2 linked regions of the Mytilus edulis genome follow. The protein of the gene in region 1 purifies or fractionates together with the protein of each later gene. This does not show direct contact. Links are inferred from orthologs where the notes say so. Each region holds a gene or a part of one and is shown on either strand. Other genes may lie near its edges.

Region 1 (10,835 bases):
ATGGCACATTCTGAAACATAAGAAATAATCTAATGATATATGGTTCATTAAAAAAATGCAAGAAAATGATATCTACATGTACATGTATATGTTCTTTTAAAATGGATGAGAATTTGTTTTATAGATCCATTACTTTTATCTGATAATACAAAAATATGTACCCCTAGCCATGTCTGGTGGGAAGGGGCTCTAAATTTGATTAAGAAAGTGAGAGTAACAGTTCTAGATTAGTTTCAAGATAATGTGATCATAACTTAAATGTGAACTTCCTTGAACTTAAAATGAGACAAATGGCATAGCAGACATAGGCATACATGCAGTGATACTGTTGTCTTTTTTCAAAACTACATGTACCTCTACCGTTTTTTTATTGGGAAAATTGCATATTTTTTTATTGAAATTGGGAAATTTGTATATTTTTGATTCTTAACTCATCTCTATTTTTTGCTGACCTTTGCTGTCTTTTTTGCACTGTTTTTTCATGTATATTTTGGTTGTCAGACAATTTCAACCAGAAAGGTACTTTTCATAGAGGGGAAAGAAACCAACAATGATGGTACTTAATGCATTGAAAACCATCTGTGTTACAAACACCATGATGATTCTGATCAGAAAACTGGTAATTTAATATCAAAATAATAACATGAATACGAAATTTACAAATATTACTACCAATGCCATCACTGTTTTGGGAAAATGTAAAACTTTTTGGGAGGAATTTTAAGTTTTTTTTTTTTAGTAATTGGGAATTTTCTCCAGGGGAAAAGGCAGAATTTCGGCTGTAATTTGAGGCAAACAATATCACTGACATGTGGCCAAGTCTGACTTTATACAAAAAATTGGAAAGCAATACTATCCATAATGGAAATTCTTAAACATTTTAAATGTACTTTTTTTCTTATGAAACACCCCCTACATTTATCCCTGCTCAGTTTAGTGGCTGAGATCATCATTTTCAATTGTTACTATTTGTACTGCATCATTCTTTAAGTGTCTGTAGTTAAATTCTTGTCTTTGGTTCATGTCTGTCAAATTGATCTTTCTTAAATTGTTTTGTTATAAATTAAAAAAGTTTTTTCTAGTGAATGTTTTGCACTTTCATGTATGGGCCTTTTCAACCAGACATTATATAGTATGGGGTGTTGTGGCAGGTTGTACGGTGGCCTACAATAATGTACATCCAATTCATTTGAATTTTGATATTTACAAATGTTATTGTCTAATTGGGAATCATAACTTATCTCCTTATTCATACAACACAATTGTACACAAGAAGATGTACTTTTTACCTTGTCTTCACACAGTAAAGGAAGATGTAACAAAATCTCCAAAGGTTCAGCATCTGCAGCCATCACAATAAACTCTGAAATTCCTCTGTTTAAGGTCTTTGTGGCTGTAAACAAATACAGTAAATTAAAACTAACTCAGCAAGGAAAATTTTGTCATCTATTTAAAGTATTCTTACCATTTTTTAGTTTGATAGTATTCTCACAGTATTGTTATAGTTGCCAATAGGCTTTGAAATTTTGATTGTACAAGTTATCAAGTTTATTCATGATCTTATTTGAATTTTCTATTTTTGCCAATCTATGCTTTTAATATAATTTCAGGCATTTAAAAAAGTACTATACGAGTATCAGATATGACATTTAGTCATTTAAAAAAAAAGACAATATCTTTTTATTTCATTCAAATTTTCTATACCATATTTGAAAAACAGAGATAGAGTTATCTCAGTTATACATGTATTTTTTTCACTTTTAAGCTAGATTTGAGTGTCTTTCAAATGGATACATGTGCACAAGTTTGTACATGTATAGCACATGAAAAATACCAAATACAATGCTTTGCATTTCTTTGTTCTTCATTTGTTTTCAGAATTTTTTCGAATGTTTTCATGAAGGAAGATGTATACAAACACAATAAGATTTGACCAATGGAAGGTTTAGATATTGGCTTTTATGATTGATTATACCTTCATTGGCTCCTTTCCTCAATTCTTTACAGCTGGCTGCCTTCTGTACCAAGTCCAATATTTTCTGAGTTAAGTTTGGATCAGCTAATGGATAAGCTTTAGGATTTACTTCTTCAGTCTGAAATAAAAATACAAATATATTAACATTAAGTAACAGATGCCATGTATGGCAGAAAAATGTTGAATTTATATTTATCTTTTATCCATTTTGCGCTTTCTTATTTAAGGTCTATAATAAGGATTTTTGAGTGTATGCCATGTGTATTCAATTCAAAATATTTTAGGCACTGGCTACGGTTACATGGAAATGTAACAATAATAAAAATATTATTGTTACATTGGAGACTAAATGCCGGAATTCAAAGTCGGATAAGGAACCGATTAATTACGAATGTAACAATAATTATTGAGGCTACGGTTACATTGCGTTATTGTTACATGAAAAACAGCAATGTACGCTCGATTTATTAAACTTAAATCTTCTATGGTTTAACGGTTGCCTTAATCTTGCATCTGTACGAAATAATACTTGTAATAATGATAAGTAATAAATATTATCGATTAACAAATGGTGTTTAAATTGGTCTTTTTAACGTATAAATGGTCACATTTGGTGTTTTAAAGATACTACTTTAGATAAGTAGTGCCAAAGGCGAAAATATAGTCCAATGATTTGTTGTTGAGAACTCGGGCTGAGAAAAGTGTTCACTTTAGTTTAAGTATTTAACTGCACACCTACTCGTATAACTGTCATTTTACTTTACACAATGGATGAAGAGATTCCTGTGACCAATTTTGTTTTGGGTGAACAATTTAAAACTTGGGATTCGTTTGAAACAAAACTGAAACAATATCAAGACACAAATTTCATTCAGCTATACAAACACAGTTCTAAAAAAAATGATTCATCTATAGCAAAGTTTGCTAACTGTGAAGTAAAATACTGTGAACTTCTGTATACATGTATCCACGGAGGACGTAATGTCGTTTCAAAATCAGATGGAGCTCGTCCAAACCAAAGGTAAGTTAAGTTTAACCTATAAACGAATATCAATGGGTCATTATATTCATGCGAGATTGCGTCGTTGGATTGCCCAAAAGTACGAAGAGAGTCATGCCGTTTCTTAAAAGACGACCAAAGGAAAAAGAAGAAGGTAAATAACTTTTTAAAAAAATGGACAGTTGATATACCCCCAGTTTTTGATAGGGTTCGTGTTTCTTAGTCTGTAGTTTTCCATGTTGTGTTTTTTTTACTTTTATTTGTATGTTTTGCCTTTTTACTTTTTAGCCATGGCGATGTCAGTTTGAATAATGGAAAATAATTCACTATTTATTAGTATTTGATGAACTTTTGACTTTTGACTTGCATTTTTATAATTTATTGTTTTTTTCAGCTATGCTAAGTTGGATACTGAAATCCGAGGTAAACCTTACATCCGTAATGGACGGCAATGTGACCATACTGAAAGATGACATAAAACTACATCACATGTTTCCAACCAAAATATTAGATGAGAATATAAACATTGCTAGAGTGAAAAAGTATTTCTCATCGGAAGCATGGCAAACATGAAAGGTTGCCTTATCATCAAAACGGGATATCGCAGAATGGAACTGTACAGTGTGTGATACGGACGTTCACAGTGCGGCATCACTGGTGTGTGATGGCTGCTTGGAGTGGTTTCACCAAAAATGTGTCGGACTTAGAAATGCTCCAAAAACCACTTACTGGATATGTAGAAAATGTCATTGCAAATAAATAATTAAAGAATTTATATTTAATAATTGTATTTATTAAATGATATGAGCAAATAAGCCCTAATACGGATAAATCAGCATGTGCAATACTAAAAACGTTCCACTGTCGATATAAATCAAGAGTTAATATTGCTCTTCGAACAGGGCCAATACAGAAAAAAGCGGGAAAAAAGTCGTATTAGCCCTAGGGCAATACAGGACGTTCACTTCCGGTTTTCAATTTTCTTACGCCATTACTTTACTCTTGAAGTATCGTTATGCATAAAAACATTTGTATAATAATTTTTAAATTAAAGTCATAAAATAAACAGGTTAAATGATGTGCAATGTTTTGTAATGTCTTAATGTTTTCAAACGGAAAAAACAGGGCAAATACAGAAAAAAGCGGGAAAAAAGCTGTATTGGCCCATGGGCTAATACGGGACGTTCACTTCCGGTTTTTAATTCTCTTATAATCATTTAATAAAAGTGTTATGAACTGGCTGTTTCTGTATTGGCACTGGTATAGATTCTCGGTCAGCTGTATTGGCCCTCGACCCTACAGGTCTCGAGGCCAATACAGCAAACCTTGAATCTATACCAGTGCCAATACAGAAACAGCCAGTTAATAACACTATAGTATTGTAAATATAAAATAAATGTCTTTTTTATTATCTTGTACATTTTAATAGACCCATCGTATATTGCTGTTTTTCGTGTAACAATAACGCAATGTAACCGTAGCCTCAGTAATTATTGTTACATTCGTAATTAATCGGTTCCTTACCCGACTTTGCGTTTCGGCATTTAGTCTCCAATGTAACAATAATATTATTATTATTGTTACATTTCCATGTAACCGTAGCCAGTGCCAATATTTTATTGTTCAAATATCAAATGTACATTTAAACAAAGGGATTGGACAAAAGGCAGTGCCTATACAAATCCTTTCCCATACAAGATGGATTGAATAACATGCATGATAGTATATAATTTTCTGATAAGTTAATAGATCATACCATGTGTATGCTGAGGTCATCATTCGAAAAGGCCTCAGGTATTAAAGATTGACATGTCATTGGTATTATTAAATTAATAATTAAATGAGCTACCTTTGTTATATCAAGCTTTATTGTTATTATTATATGGTTATGGACATTATACTTTGGGAACGCCAGTTAATAACTTTCTTTTTTTAATGCTACCTCTGAAAGAAAGTATACCATACGACCCCCCTTTTTTTTTATTAACAAATCATTTATCAATCTTTTCAAGGTTGAAATGCGCCTTTTGGTTGATGTTTTCTATTACAAATAAAATTTCAATTCAAGCATATTAAGGTTGTGACAAAAATACTATATTGTAAAGGTGTTTTACCATGATTGTTGTTCAAAATATTCCCTCGGCTGAAAGCTTCACTGGGCCTCGTGGTAATGTTTTCGTTTGTGCCTCGTGTTAAAAACCGGATGTTGATTTAACAATCGACGTATTTAAAGGGTTTATTGTTACGGACTTAAAATAAATATACAAACATTTTAAAGACGTCGATTATCTCGCACGTGTTAGCAGACGACAAGTTTTGTAGCAGAAAGAGCAAGTTGGTAACTGGCGTGCAGAAGAACTATGTAAGAAAGTTTATGACTGTTCTAGTTTTCCCATACTTCAAGGTTTTTGTAAATCTGAATAGTTGAGAGCTAAGCATCAACTTCATGAATAACCTTTTTTTAACCTAGTTTATATATTATTAAACACTGTGCTTGTCAAGTTGTTGTATTCTTCTACTTGTCTTAATAAATATTTTTTATAACATTGACATTGTGTCTTAATCATATAATTGAATCACTTGTGTAATCATTTGTATGTAATTAATGTTGATTGTTCTGCTCCTTGTGGGTGCTTTGATTAGCAATGAAATATATTTGACAGTGGCGGATCCAGAACTTGACCTAAGGGGGGCCCGCTAACTGACCTAAAAGGGGGGTGGCGATCCAGTCATGCTTCAGTGATTACCTATATAATCAACCAAATTTTTTCCACGAAAAGGGAGGGGGGGTGTGTGTTCCAACCACATGTCCTAATTCAAATGCATTGATCGTCCAAAAAAAAGGGGGGTTCCAACCCTCAACACACACCCTCGATCTGCCACTGCTTTGCATTGGCAAAAGCCAATTTTGTCTAGTATAGAACCATTCTACGATTGACAAAGGGAAGTAATTTTTGTGATTTGAGGCTATAGAATTTGTTTTGTTTGATAAATAAACATTAAAAATTTAAACAACACTAATTACAATGTTTTATATGAATTATCTCCCTTACATTGCTTTTAGATTATGTCTTACTTGATTTATTTCACTTGACTGGGCGGAGTTAAAACGGTGCGTTCATCATTGACCAGTCCATCTACTGATAGGTGTTTTGGAATAAACTCATCAATGAAGTGTCCAGTTTGGTCATTGTTAATTTGTTTGGTGACACTGATAGTGATTAGAAATCAATGATAATTATAACGCTGTAATTATTGAAGAGATTTTGAAAAAATCGAGATTTTTTTTTATAGAGAAAATCATGCAGCAGGAAGACCAGGTTGTTGAAGAAGAATTAGTTGTGAATGAAGATGATGAAGAGGTATGGCTCCTTGCATTGAGTAACAACTCTTTGAAATTAGTTTAACCATATTATTTACTCTCTCTGCAAACTCTAGTCCAGTCTCTTTATTTATTTTTATTGGAATAACAATAAACAAATATTAAAATATAATTTATGAGTTTTCCCTTGGAAAAAATGTGTTGGCTGCTACCGTACCTACATTTGTACAAATGATTTACATTTAAAATGTTTTGGTATAAGAAATTCCTAGTGTCACAATTGCTTGTGTCAAAAAATGAAATAGCAGGTGCACCACTTTAATTGTGGAGAATTTGTGCAAGTATAGTAGAAGTCTATTAATCTGTTTTCAAGGACATATTAACATAAAATGAGATGCAAATGATGACAAGGCAACGCTCACTCAGCTGATAGATGTGATCAGTATTTTTCACCTATAGACCTACAGTGATGTTACATTTATACATATTTGTTCTTATATATATAAGGAGTGCACTCTAATGGTTGAGCTGAAAATGTAGAGAAAATTCAAATCAACAGTACAGGTTATAACATGCCAGAAGACAGTTTCAATTAATATTATGTTCTTCAGCTTCCTATTTCTTTTAGAATGATAGCTAGTACGTCCCAGTTGAGGGGAGTGTTTATGTCGTTAATCATTTACTATTTCAGGAATCACTTTTCCAGGACATAGATCTTCTGCAGAATCATGGAATTGTAAGTCTTAACTGATATAAGTCATTTAATATAGAATAGTTGATATATATTATAGCTAGCACCATTTATCAAGGTTATAGTGCTTAAAAGGGGGATGGGCATCTTAATTGTTAACAACAGCTATAATCCAAATACTGTTAATTCAGGATGTTCCCAGTTGGAAAATGTATAGAAAAGTTTAAAGTTGCGTTTGTACAAGAACAATAATGTGTACTCTATTACAATATCAGAAATTTTATATGATTTTACATTCATCCTATAGTCAAAACATATTTAGATGGTCTCCAAACTAGTTTTGCTACTCTGAATTTCAAGAAGAGGTAATTTTTCTTATCTAGGTTCAAACTACATCTCAGTCTTTTTCTCTGACATGTGTACAAGTATTTTGTAATCACAAAAGACGATTGAGGTAGAAAGATTTTACTGCTGAGCACAGTTCAATGTTTGAAATGGATGTAAACAGTATAGGTGCCTTAGAAAATATGTTAGATTTTATATGGAGTTTTTTTTTTTATTATTCTCTGCTTTAGTAAAACAGATGAAGGAATGGAACCAATATATTCCAAACCTTTTTTCAATGTGAATTGTTAGAAAGGAAATTGGGGTATGCGTCAAAGAGACATCAACTCGCCCAAATTGCAAACCACAGCCCACAACCAACAATGGGTCTTCAAAGCAGCAAGGAAATCCCATCCAAACTTTGTGTCATTTATATTTGCATCATTTAATTATTTTTTTAATTTATAGAATGTAGCTGACATAAAGAAACTGAAGCAAGTGGGAATATGTACCATAAAGGCAAGTATTGTATAAACTTTAAGTACTACTTCGTTATTTATTATCAAATCTCAAACAATAGCAAGTGCATTATATTGTACCTTTTATCTCTTCATACTTTTTTGAAATTTTAACCATTAAATATGCAAAATTGTATTATTACAGGGAATCCAAATGACCACAAAGAAAAGACTTTGTGCTGTAAAAGGAATTTCTGAAGCAAAAATGGAAAAAATCAAAGAAGCTGCAAATAAGCTCTGTGTATGTATTAACCTACTGTCATCATCCTAATATATTTTCCCAAACTAGTTCTCCCTGTTTTAAGAATAAAATATATATAAGTAGGGAACATAGTTACACCAGAAAAAGATTAAAGTCTGGCATTAATTTTCAAAGGAGTGAGTTGGTCCAGTTGAAAAAGTCAAAAATTAGTATTTCAAAGTCAAACAGTTTAATGATGAATGAGGAGAATTTTATTATTTTTTTTTTAATTTCAGTAGCAGATGCCTCATTTCATTCTTGTATTTCCAGGATCCAGGTTTTTTGACAGCTTTAGAGTATTCAGATAAAAGAAAAGCTGTCTTCAGAATAACGACTGGAAGCATAGAATTAGAGTAATTAGTTTTTTAGTTATACTAACATTGTTTATTTTTATACCATTATGTGTACAGCAAAGTAAAATCTTTTATATTTCTATACATTATACAAAACTGAGATTAGAAGTTGATTAAAGAATTGTTTGCACATGTTGCATGGATCTTTAATTTTGAGAAAATATCAGGTGGGTCCCTACAAATCAAAAGAATATCTAGCCTGCAGTCTTCACCCTGAGTGGCAGCCCAGGCTAGTAAAATTGCTCTCGGGCCTGTAAAAATCATATCTACAGGCCGCCAACAGAATCTAACTAAAAAAATTGGAAAATTGAGCTCTGGGCATGTAGATTTAACAGTTCATCATGAAGACTCTCTAGGGTCACAATTATTTATAAAAGTTTTACAAATTTTCACTTCTGACAATATATGTGATTTAGGAATTAATTATTTCATAACAAACCTCTGCATAGATGTTTAGGCCAAATAAAAAAATAAGAGTTTACCTTTTTCCCTACCTACGGGGTAGTACCCTATATTTTAAGCTTAGAAATAGCCTACCTTAAAGTTTTTTTGGTCATTTTCCAATAATCATTGTTTATAATGTAAGAATTTTTCTCCCATAGACTCAATGTAAAAAAATGTAAAATAAAAAAATCCCTATCTACCTACCTACCCTTTTTTTTTCAAAGATAATATAGGAAACGCACATATTATTTTATTTGGCCTTGTACAAGAGCAAACAAAATATCAATGTTCTATTAAAAAAAAAGATTGCAATGGATGTAATAAAAAAAGATGTTATCGACAATTACAATAGAAAATTAAATCTTTCTTACTTTGCAACATTGATTATACTGTAACTATCTAAATATCGCAAGTGATTTATTTTTGCGAGTAGAAAAATGTCGTGAATAAATAAAACTTGGATTTTTCCTGACTTAACTACATCAAGTAAATTTGAGAATCACAAAATTGGATAGACAAGGCTAAACACAAATTGAGTATCTGGGAACTTCATGTGTCAAATGACATTACCAAATCTCTTGCACAGCCATACATATATAGTAAAGAAACTAAAACTTATGATTTAACACAATGAATTTTAATAGATACATATTCCAAACACTTGCCACTTCCTTGGTAGCTTAGCATTATGTTTCTGTATTAGATAAACCTGCTGCAGTAGAAAATATTATTTAGTTGAAATATACACCATTGTATTCCTTATACGCATGATTAATTTCAAATTGCTATTTAAGATTTATTAGAAGAAATTTCCTTTCAGTAAACTTTGTGGAGGAGGATTAGAAAGCATGGCAATAACTGAAGCCTTTGGTGAATTCAGAACAGGGAAAACACAGCTGTCTCATACAATGTGTGGTAAGCGTTTAATAATTTATATGCTGAGAATATAATTTGCTTTTCATGTTTGATATGTTTTATACAGAGTAAAATATAAAGACTGCCAAAACACATTCAAAATCACTTGTCTGAGAGCAACACATGAACTAAAGGCACAGCCTCGCTTTCTACCTGTTTCTAAGCCTTTTACAAATAACATTAATATTTCGAGACAATGTATGGTCATTCTTTATATGCTGCAACTCTTATAACTGTTCTAAATGAAGAATTTAGGGAAAAAACCATCATTTCTTAATTCTGAGTGGAAGACGTAAAATTTCCACGAACCTGTATGTTTTATTTTATAGCTGCAGTATATTAAAAATTACAAATGTAGAACAGAATGAAAATGAGATATCCATGAAAATTACTATTGACAAAAGAACAAAGTGGAGGCGTTTTAAGAAATATTTTTCCTTGAATGGTATTATAAAAAACTGATGGGAAGTTCTTCTTTGGGGAAATTTAGAAATTTTAAAAATTTATGTTTTTAAAAGTAAAATAAGAACATCTGTCTGTGACAATTTTTTTAAAAAGTGATTTCACATCAGTACAAAAATATGTACTTATTATTTCAGTAACAGCACAGCTTCCTGGAGCCAATGGATATACAGGTGGCAAAGTGGTTCTTATTGATACTGAGAATACCTTGTATCCAAACAATTTATTGATTACTGCTGAAATGTGTCCTAAAAATTAAAAAATAATTACATAGTGCAAGAATTGAATTAGATTAAGTTGCTTGACAACCAGTGAAAAAAACAGTTTTGACTAATATAGGGGTTGATAAAGTGGCTTATGTTGGAAAGAACAAAAAAGAATCAGAACTTAGAAATAAGGAAAAAAGCCATATGAAGTCTTCTTTTTTTTTAAACAATATCTGCAGAATATAAGTAAAATCTACAATTCACTAAAATGCACAACAAAAAATTTTGCTCAACATATTTGTAGGAATTCCCCCATGTGTGCTGCAACTGTTTAAAGAGGACTCCAAGCAATTCAATTAACAACTCTCACTTTAATAAAACTTG
Region 2 (9,277 bases), on another chromosome or scaffold:
AATTTATCAAACTGTTGATCTTTTAGAAAATGGTGACCTAAAGAAAATGTTCACTGATGATCAGATGCATGTTATAGAAAGTTTAAAAATGATTTGAATGTAATCATCAATTAAAAAATACACATCATTTAAATAGATAAGTAATAAACATAAATGAGCTTACACGTATGCATGCATTCTGTAATGGTTGAAGCTTCATACAGGTATCCACCACACAAGGCACATGTGATGTAAGTATTTATAGCACACAATCTCACACTCACTGGTTCCTTACTTAAACTTGGACATACTGGAATTTGAGCTAGCTAAAAATAAAAGTTATGATAAAAATTTCAAATATCTAATTGAGCATCCATAGTATTAATTTATTGTAACAATCATGTTATGTCTCACTTTAGATACAAAATAATCTCTATGAAAATGAGAAGTTGTAAATGCTTAAACAATTTCATACAAGATATCATTGACTTCAATTAAATGTTTTATCTCAAACTGACCTAATCATAAAGAAATAACTCCAGAACGATAAAAGTGACCCAACAAAATTCTTACTTGATCTGATATTTGTGGTAATAAGGATTGTGTACAAGTTTAATAACATTTGGTTGAGGCAAAATTAAGTAAGAGAACCGAAATGAAAAAATTCAGCAGTTTTTAATTTTTTGGGACATAACTCTAGAAGGGTAAAAGTGACGCCAGCAAAATTCAAACTTGATCTGTGTTTTTTGGTAATAATCATTGTGTAAAAGATTCATAATCATTTGGTTGAGGCAAACTAAAGTGAGAGAGCCGAAACGAAATATTCAGCAGTTTTTAATTTGTAAAAGAGCATAACACTAGAAATTTAAACTGACACAAACAAAATTCAAATTTGATATGTGTTTTGTCGTAATAAGCATTGTGTATAAGTATCATAACATTTGGTTGAGGCAAACTAAAGTTAGAGAACGTAAATCAATTTCAGGACGATGAAATACGGACAAGGGTTCAACTTAATGCCCCCTCTACTATGGCCAAGGCATAAAAATAGTTCTTTAACAATATTACAACATATTACTGAAACCAAATTTTATATGGTAAATCTGACTATATCAACAACAAAAATTATGATTTAACCACCTGTTCTTTCAAAGATAATTTTGTTTCTGGTTTTTCCTCCGACTGGCTGTTGTTAAGGACTGTACTACAAGATGGTTGTTCTGTGTCTTCATTGTTGAGATTGCTCTGAAAAATTCACATTAACAACTTTTATAATATCCAGTCTATATACTAAGATTTATACTGTTTATCTTCTTAAAAAACACATCGTATTCAATAAAATTGAGAATGGAAATGGGGAATGTGCCAAAGAGACAACAACCTGACCATAGAAAAAAAACAACAGCAGAAGGTCACCAACAGGTCTTCAATGTAGTGAGAAATTCCCGCACCCGGAGGCGTCCTTCAACTGGCCCCTAAACAAATATATACTAGTTCAGTGATAATGAACGCCATACTAATTTCCAAATTGTTTATTATGACACATCTAATGAATTATTAATCATTTGTTAATTGATAATTAAAGTTTAACATGTTCATAACAGTGCAAAAAAAATTCTAGTTCAACAAAAATATTGCCAAGAGATCTCATGACTCATGTAAACTATTTACTTAAAATGAATAAAATTGAGAATGGAAATGAAGAATATATCAAAGTGACAACAACCCTACCAAAGCGCAGAAAACAGATGAAATATTTTGTTATTCTATTGCAATTGTTCCTATCCAAGGTACATGTAAGTTAAAGAAAAAAGAAGTTATATTTAAACAGCTAAGATAAGCTTATATTAAATGTCCATACTTTACCTCTGTAGTATTTAAATTTTCATCAACCTTTTCATCCTTTGCATTGTCTTTTTGTTCAATTGAATCTACACAAAGTATAGTGGGTACTGAATCATTATCACAAATATTGTCTTCAAAATGTAAGTTGCATAGTCTTGTATGGTCGGTTATGAGAACATCTGGTTTTGCTTGTTTTATTTTCCCTAACCATACTTCACTTCTGTCATCATCAGTCCCTGGGAGACAATGAAGTGATATCTTTTCTTCATTCACTATATGTTCTTCATTTTTAGCACACAAAACACAGCACAATTTTCCTTCACATTGTTCCTTTATCTCTGATGAGGTTTCACAAGTTTCCATTGAACTGAAACAAATATTAACTTATAAATGCATCAATTATATTTTATTTATAAACCATACTAATGTAAATTATGAACAACAATCTTAATCATTCATATTATGATTTATAGCATATTTTTTTTTAATGGTAGATATAATTGCATAATTCATGGTATATGTAGCTACAATTTGTTCATGTCTGTTTCTAGACATAAATATATTCCTCCCCTAATAGTCTTCTCTATCTTGTGTAATTTTTGTTTGGTAGAATGATTGAAATATACATATAGATCAATATTTTACTAAGGTATGATGGTTAGTTTACGATGGTTTATTGCATTGCATTTCCCATCATGATTTCCTTGATAGAGGGTTGCTGCTACAAGGAAGCTTTTAAACCACGAGTTCCAAATGGTGAAGTTGAAATCATCCCTTCGTAAATTTTATGAAAGCCATCACACGTTGGTTGACCGTTATGGAATAACGGTTTCACAAATGATATCGGATATGTTCTTTAAGTCATGTAAGTCCTAACTACAATCCTCATCCCTTTCATGAATATGACCTACCGAATTAGGCTAAATTACCGGATTTTTTAAAACATAAGCAACACGACAGGTGCCACATGTGGACACATCTGCTTACCCTTCCAGAGCACCTTAGATCACCTCTAGTTTTTGGTGGCGTTCATGTCGCTTATTCTTTAGTTTTCTATGTTATGTCATGTGTTTTATTGTTTGTCTGTTAGTCTTCTTTCAATTTTAGCCAAGTGTTGTCAGTTTATTTTCAATTTATGAGTTTGACTGTCCCTCTGGTATATTTCGTCCCTCTTTCATTATTGTGACAGGTGAATAAATTCACTTCAAGGTACATGTAAGTATTCAATATAAAAAAAGAAGATGTGCTATGATTGCCAATGAGACAACTCTCCACAAGAGACCAAAATGACACAGAAATTAACAACTATAGGTCACCATACAGCCTTCAACAATGAGCAAAGCCCATTCAAGTTTGCATTTGCGAGTATCAGCATGACATCTTCCTTGCAAAACAAGTGCAATATTATTAAGATCAGATTACTTATGTTCTTAAGTTTGATATAGGGGGTTTTGTTCCCAATCTGTTATCGAACCTGAGTCTGTTCACCCAAATGCATGTTCTCTTTCACATTCTCACCTGACATGTTCACACCCTGTGAATCATGAATAATGTCATGATGAGCTGATTTTATATAATTAAGTCATTCAACTCTAAGACTTGTAACAGAAAGACAGAAGTTTCCTAACAGCTATCAAACTTGTCACAAGCTGTTAAACAGACCTGATGCTAGCTCATAGGTACTTATGTAGTCCAAATAATTATGACGTCTTATAATAGCCTTTCAAGAGGTCATAATTATTTGGACTAGTACTTATGCTATTTTTTTACTTTTTTAGGACCTATGAGCTACGGTTCTGCAGCTAGAGATAGTGATGACCATACCAAGGGGTGTCAAATTAAAACACCTTATCGCTAAAACCCGCTGACCCGGCCACTTGAACTTTTGACGCATACAACAATCACTTTTCCATTGCCATGATTGCGGCGTCAGATATTTTGTTTTAGGACATCAAAATTTTACAGAAACCTGTGTGATCTCCAGTAATGACAGACAAATAGCGATAAGGTGTTTGGGCCGAATTTGTATGCGAATTTGAGCACTCCATTGGGATAGCAGAACTTTTTATAGTTTTAAGGTATAACTTTAATTCCTGTGATTAAGGTTGTGCGGTACTTCAATTCGTTTCTTATTTTTTATTACATCAGGTATATATATATTGAAATATACTGTTAGCTGATTACATCTACATGATGATGTTCTAAGTAAAAATTAAAATTTAGAAAATCAGCACTCTTCTCTTTAGTCTGATGAATAGTTCATGCATATCTCCTTATTATTAGAATTTTGTGGTATTGCTATTCATTAATCTGGTCATTCTTGTTTTATGTTTTACCCCATAACCAACCTTACGACTGTTGTTTAACCTTAAAACACGGAAAAGTTGCATTTTGTAACTGACTTTTTAAATGCAGACGCCATTGTAAACTTCCGCCTATCACAGGGTTTGTAAGACCTCTCCTTATTGGCCATTTCCTGAGATCTGTGTGAAAAGAACCAATGAAAAATCATTTAAGATAAGGACTATTCTTAGTGAATGGCGAAAATTGTTTGTAAAGATGGTGAGCACGTGGCTTTTAACTTTTTGAGTACATGCACAAATCTAATTATCTTATTTTATACATAACATGTTTAAGTACAAAACTTTGCATAGGCAATCTTCGATTCCAAAATGTCAATGCTTAGACTGTGCTATTTTCCATAGATTTATTGAAATTATCAGCACATGCCGACTGGACATGTGGTCTGATTTATTTTGAGCGCAGTTTAAAAGCATACCATCAGCTGGTATACATGTACGATATGGTTGTTTTTCACTGACGCGTTATAGATGTATACTGTTGGAGTGTTTCTGTACATTGACATAGCGAAAAAAAATATATATTTAATTGAGGGGTTGGAGGGGGGTTGGCTGTCACCAATTTGATTTGGTTCTGGTCGTTCCCTTAGGCAGCAACCATTTGATTTTTCATGGGGGGCTATGGTTTTTTGTGGAAAAAAAAGTTTGTTTCCAGTTTTTGGAGAAAAAAATAATTTGTTTTTGATTCTGAGAAAAAAAAAATGTTTGTTTCACCCTCAGCTGCCACTATATGTAATGATAAAATTGAAAGAACAAAATTGTTTTCGACTTGTCGAAAAAAAATTTGTCCAGAAAAAAAAACCATAGCCCCCCCCCCCCCCCCCCCCCGAAAATCAAATGGTTGCTGCCTTATATTTGATTGGTTCAAACCTGATTGAAAACAAAAAATTTTGATATTAAATGTGGGAGACCTATCATTTTTGAAAAAGCCTGCATTATTTATTTATTTTTCTTTGTATCTCACCATACATGAACCACTTACTTGCAGCATGTACATACATATTCACACCCATTCACATTGACATTCACACTCTTTTACTTTCGCACCCCACATGTTCATGCCCTAAGTCTTTGCACCCTTTTTATTGGTTTGTGATTAATAATTTTGTAATCAATCAAGTTTGGTTAACTTGTGTATATAATATGTAAATATTTTTCTTCATTGTTTCAGATAAAAAGTGGTTCTCTAATCTCACTGGTTTTTTTTTGTGTTGAATAAATCTTAATCAAGTTTTGGTTACTGGTAGCTTTTTTTATGTTTCAAAATAAAGTGAGATTCTTGCGGTTTTTTTTTAATGCTGAATAAATCTTAAATAGTGTTTTGGTTAGTGTATGCTTTGCTGTAAAATTAATAAAAAAAAAAAAAAAAATCATTGGTTCTAAATAGAGTGACATTATGTCAACATCTAGTTTTTGATGTTTTTGTTTTTGTTTTTTACATCAAAGCAAGTTCAAACAACAATTCATCATGATTATTAAACATACAATAGCTGTGTATAAATACCAATTAGCAATTATTATACATAAGTAAAATTTAATAGGTAATCTTCAAATTAATAAAAACGACATTTCATATATAGTAATTCACCAATTTTATTCAGGAAACTTTTGTTTTATGGTGTAAATATACATATAAATTTTAACTATTCAACTGGAAAATATTAAAAATTGGGTGTGAACATGTAGGGGCAGATGTACCTTGGACGCAAACGTGTAGGGTGTGAAAGTACTGGGCTCAAACAAACCTGATATCACCAAATATAGCCAATCTTAATTCTGTCATCAGTGGAATCAACATTTAGGTTCAGTCTGTGGTTCAAGTTTTTGTAAGACATCCTCATTATTATATGTCCTGTATGGATTTTGACGAGTAATGAAGTCGAAGTTGAATTACATTGTCTTACTTTCATGTCATCTTGAAATCTGGACAGAAGCTAGTGTATAACAAAAATACAGTTTAAATCAGAGCAAAATTTATATAATGAAAACTATCCATTTAGTTATAAAAAAACATGTGCATCAATTTAGTTTAATTTTGCGGCTCATACGACTTTATCAAGTAGATACAATGTACAGTCTAGAGTGTTTGTTGCACATCAATTACTTTGTGTAATGTTCAATAAAACTGGCAGAAGATTTTTAATGATTTAGAGATAGTATCCAAAGCAAACTTTTAAGAATATAGTTTTTAGGTAGATGGACTTAGTTTTTTACAGTAAATATTCATAGACAGTCTGAGATTAAATGTATTTGGCAAGTTAATTAGTAAACTTTCATGGAAACTTATGAAACTTGGACAACAGCAATCACAGAACATCTTACAAAATTTTTAGATATATATATAAGATGGACATATGAAAATCATTTAAAATCCTGACTATTACATGTATTAATGTAGTATAAATAATAAATTATTGTAAAAAGTTTTATCTTTTCAGGCTCAAGTATTGTTTATTTTGTATGAACATGCGTCAGGGTATGCTCTGTTCAGAGTGAAAGAATTTGAAGAGGTATCAGTATTACAGAGTCAGGTAGAGAAATGTGTAACAGATCTCAGCAAGTTCCAGTCTGTTGTCAAACTAGTGGCTTTCTCACCATTCAAAAGTGGTACCAATGCATTGGACAACATTAATAGTGTTTCAGAAGGTAAACATTAGAAATTTTGCCAAATTTATGATGTATTTTTCAGTTCTTTAAAGTTTACATATTTCAGCATAAATTTATACATCTAAGTTAAATAGTTTAACCTTCTTTGTTCTTTTTTATTATACAAAACAAATTAATGTTTTTACCTTTTCTATTTTTGGGATACGATTGCTTTCAAGCAATCTGTAGACTTTTACAGTTGACTCAGGGCTCATTCCCTCACGTCAACCGTTTTATTCTAAACATTCAGCAACATCTCAGATTCTTATGATTGTCTTGCTTTAAATGGTAAAAAGAAGCAAAAAAATGAACATAAACAACTTTCCTGTAATGTTCTTCTCATAATCTTCATGTTTAATATTTCCCTTGACTTATATGCGTGTTTTTAACAACACGGAAAATCAAAATTGAGCAGTATTAATATTTAGTGTTTTTATAAATTTAGAAACACGTCAGAGGGATTTCCCCAGTTTAGATAAATGCGAGAGTTCTCTGAATTCCGATAATTCTATTTCTGTCATATAAGAACTGAAGTGGAGTTTTTCTATATTTAACCGTTATGAAGCTGATATTTGATACTGTACTCTCATAAAGAAATGGAGAACCATTCATCATATCATTTAATAAATGTTCTTGTTCCAAGTCGCAAGTCGGGGGGTTTGTTTATGTATTAATGCGCATGCGTATAGTTTTCTTGATTTCAAGGGGTATGAGATTGAGTGGTTGCTCTGGATTCCCCACTTCATTGATTAATTTGAAACTCATGGGATTCTTTCTATGTCTGTCTGCTATCGAGGGTTATTGTTGTTGCATGATTTTAAATTATATGCATCATTTAAATAAAAATATTTACATTTAAATTATATGTTTACCTATAACACCCCTTCAGCCGAAATGGAATCTTCCATATTATCGTTTCGAGTTGTCTCCACTCTGGCCTTCAAGAAGTATTTTCCGTCAACAAAATACACTACGACTCGTCAAGAAAAATTAAGTTGTTAGATGTCGATAAACGTCGTATCATATGACGAATGATCTTAATTTCAACAGAGGAGTGTGTACAGAAAGGAGTCGTTCCCACTGACCCCAAAAAATAATTTTTAAAGCGTTAGAAATTGTGTTCCTCCTAGAATTAACGATGATAAGATACGAAGTGAAATACCTTCTCTCACTCTCACTGACTGTCTGCTGTGGAAAGTAAACTTGGAATTGATAGCATACATGTGAACCTCCCGACTCCCGTTTTCAGGGGTCTCCTCCCGTCCTCCCGTTAAGGAAAAAAAAATCCCGTGTATGAAATATTTCATGAAAGAAAATTTTCAGCTTCCATTTTTGATAATCTCTTACTACGGTACAGGTGTAATTTACACCTGTGTCAAATTTTTACCTGTAAATCAAAGAAGATGTGTAATTATATGGCTTCTCTTGACAGCTTGGGTGTCAAACATACTGGTAATCAACGATGCTTACGTCTGGCTAATGATCGCTAATTGCCGTTGTGTGATAAAAACTTTGTGCATTAAATTTTTGAAATAAATTTTGGTTACTTCCCTTTGATTTATCCTATTATAAGTTATTTATCGTTCAAAAATGTAAATTGTAAAATAAATGAATTATATTTTAATCAAATAACCATAAAAGGATGGTAATTAAATGAACTCAAATGTTTTGGACAAACAAAATAATATAAATTTACAAAATATTGTGGGAATCTAGACTTCTTTTCAAAGATTAAATTGAAATTTATATAAGAATTCTGACCTTAAAATATTCTATTAATATGCAGAATTGTAAGAATAAAGATAAAAAAAAAAACAGACTGAATAAAACTCTGTATCCCTTAAACAAAAGGTGTAGAAATGTCTCAATAATTTTGGTCAGTAAAATAGATTATCGGTCTTTCAACTAAATAAAGCAAAATATTTAGCACAGAGTCTCAAATTTCTAGAAAAATTACTTTTATAATGCTAAAAAAAGCATACAATTTACTATTGTTATTGTTAGTTATTTTTAAATTAATTTATGATGTTTAAAATATACATGTATAGCATATTTCTTTCTTATTTGTATATAATCATTTATTTGCAAGCAGTGAACAATTAATTTTCAAACACAACACTAAACAAGAAACAGATTCTTCTCAATATTTTTATTTGATAATCATTCAGATAGATTCAATAGAAAGGCAACAAGGGTACTAGGGTGTATAAAAACATTACATTATGATGTAAATGAAAGAACACTTTAAAGACAATTTCTACATTGTACGGTTACATTATATGATTAACGACAAAATTAATGTCGATAAAAAACCTCCTGATCTGAGTCCCAATCTCCCAGGGCTCACGCTACCAGGCGACTTGGGCGAAGAAGTCGCCTTCCCGATCGTCACTTCGCTTTCCCCGACCTCCAAAAGCGAAAACAAGTCGCCCTGTTCTTGACGACAG

What was found. The genes of interacting proteins can lie anywhere in the genome.
Region 2: the proteins of NHP2-like protein 1 (region 1) and nucleolar protein 56-like fractionate together in Homo sapiens (co-fractionation; 3 studies listed by BioGRID, with this or other methods). This does not show direct contact. The link is inferred for Mytilus edulis from reciprocal best matches to the Homo sapiens genes SNU13 and NOP56.

The regions. Positions count from the first base shown.
Region 1 is NC_092352.1:86,752,705-86,763,539, reverse strand, and holds the start of NHP2-like protein 1, read right to left. Parts: upstream 5,209-10,835; 5' UTR 5,093-5,208; coding exon 5,090-5,092; intron 2,094-5,089; coding exon 1,976-2,093; intron 1,394-1,975; coding exon 1,290-1,393; intron 11-1,289; coding exon 1-10. Other genes in the region: meiotic recombination protein DMC1/LIM15 homolog, read left to right, coding at 6,278-6,337, 6,989-7,033, 7,781-7,831, 7,976-8,071, 8,342-8,424, 9,689-9,783, 10,383-10,455.
Region 2 is NC_092347.1:5,497,258-5,506,534, forward strand, and holds the start of nucleolar protein 56-like, read left to right. Parts: upstream 1-4,289; 5' UTR 4,290-4,383; coding exon 4,384-4,386; intron 4,387-6,622; coding exon 6,623-6,830; intron 6,831-9,277. Other genes in the region: polycomb group RING finger protein 1-like, read right to left, coding at 164-305, 1,120-1,224, 1,846-2,187. UniProt on the Homo sapiens protein: Involved in the early to middle stages of 60S ribosomal subunit biogenesis. Required for the biogenesis of box C/D snoRNAs such U3, U8 and U14 snoRNAs. Part of the small subunit (SSU) processome, first precursor of the small eukaryotic ribosomal subunit.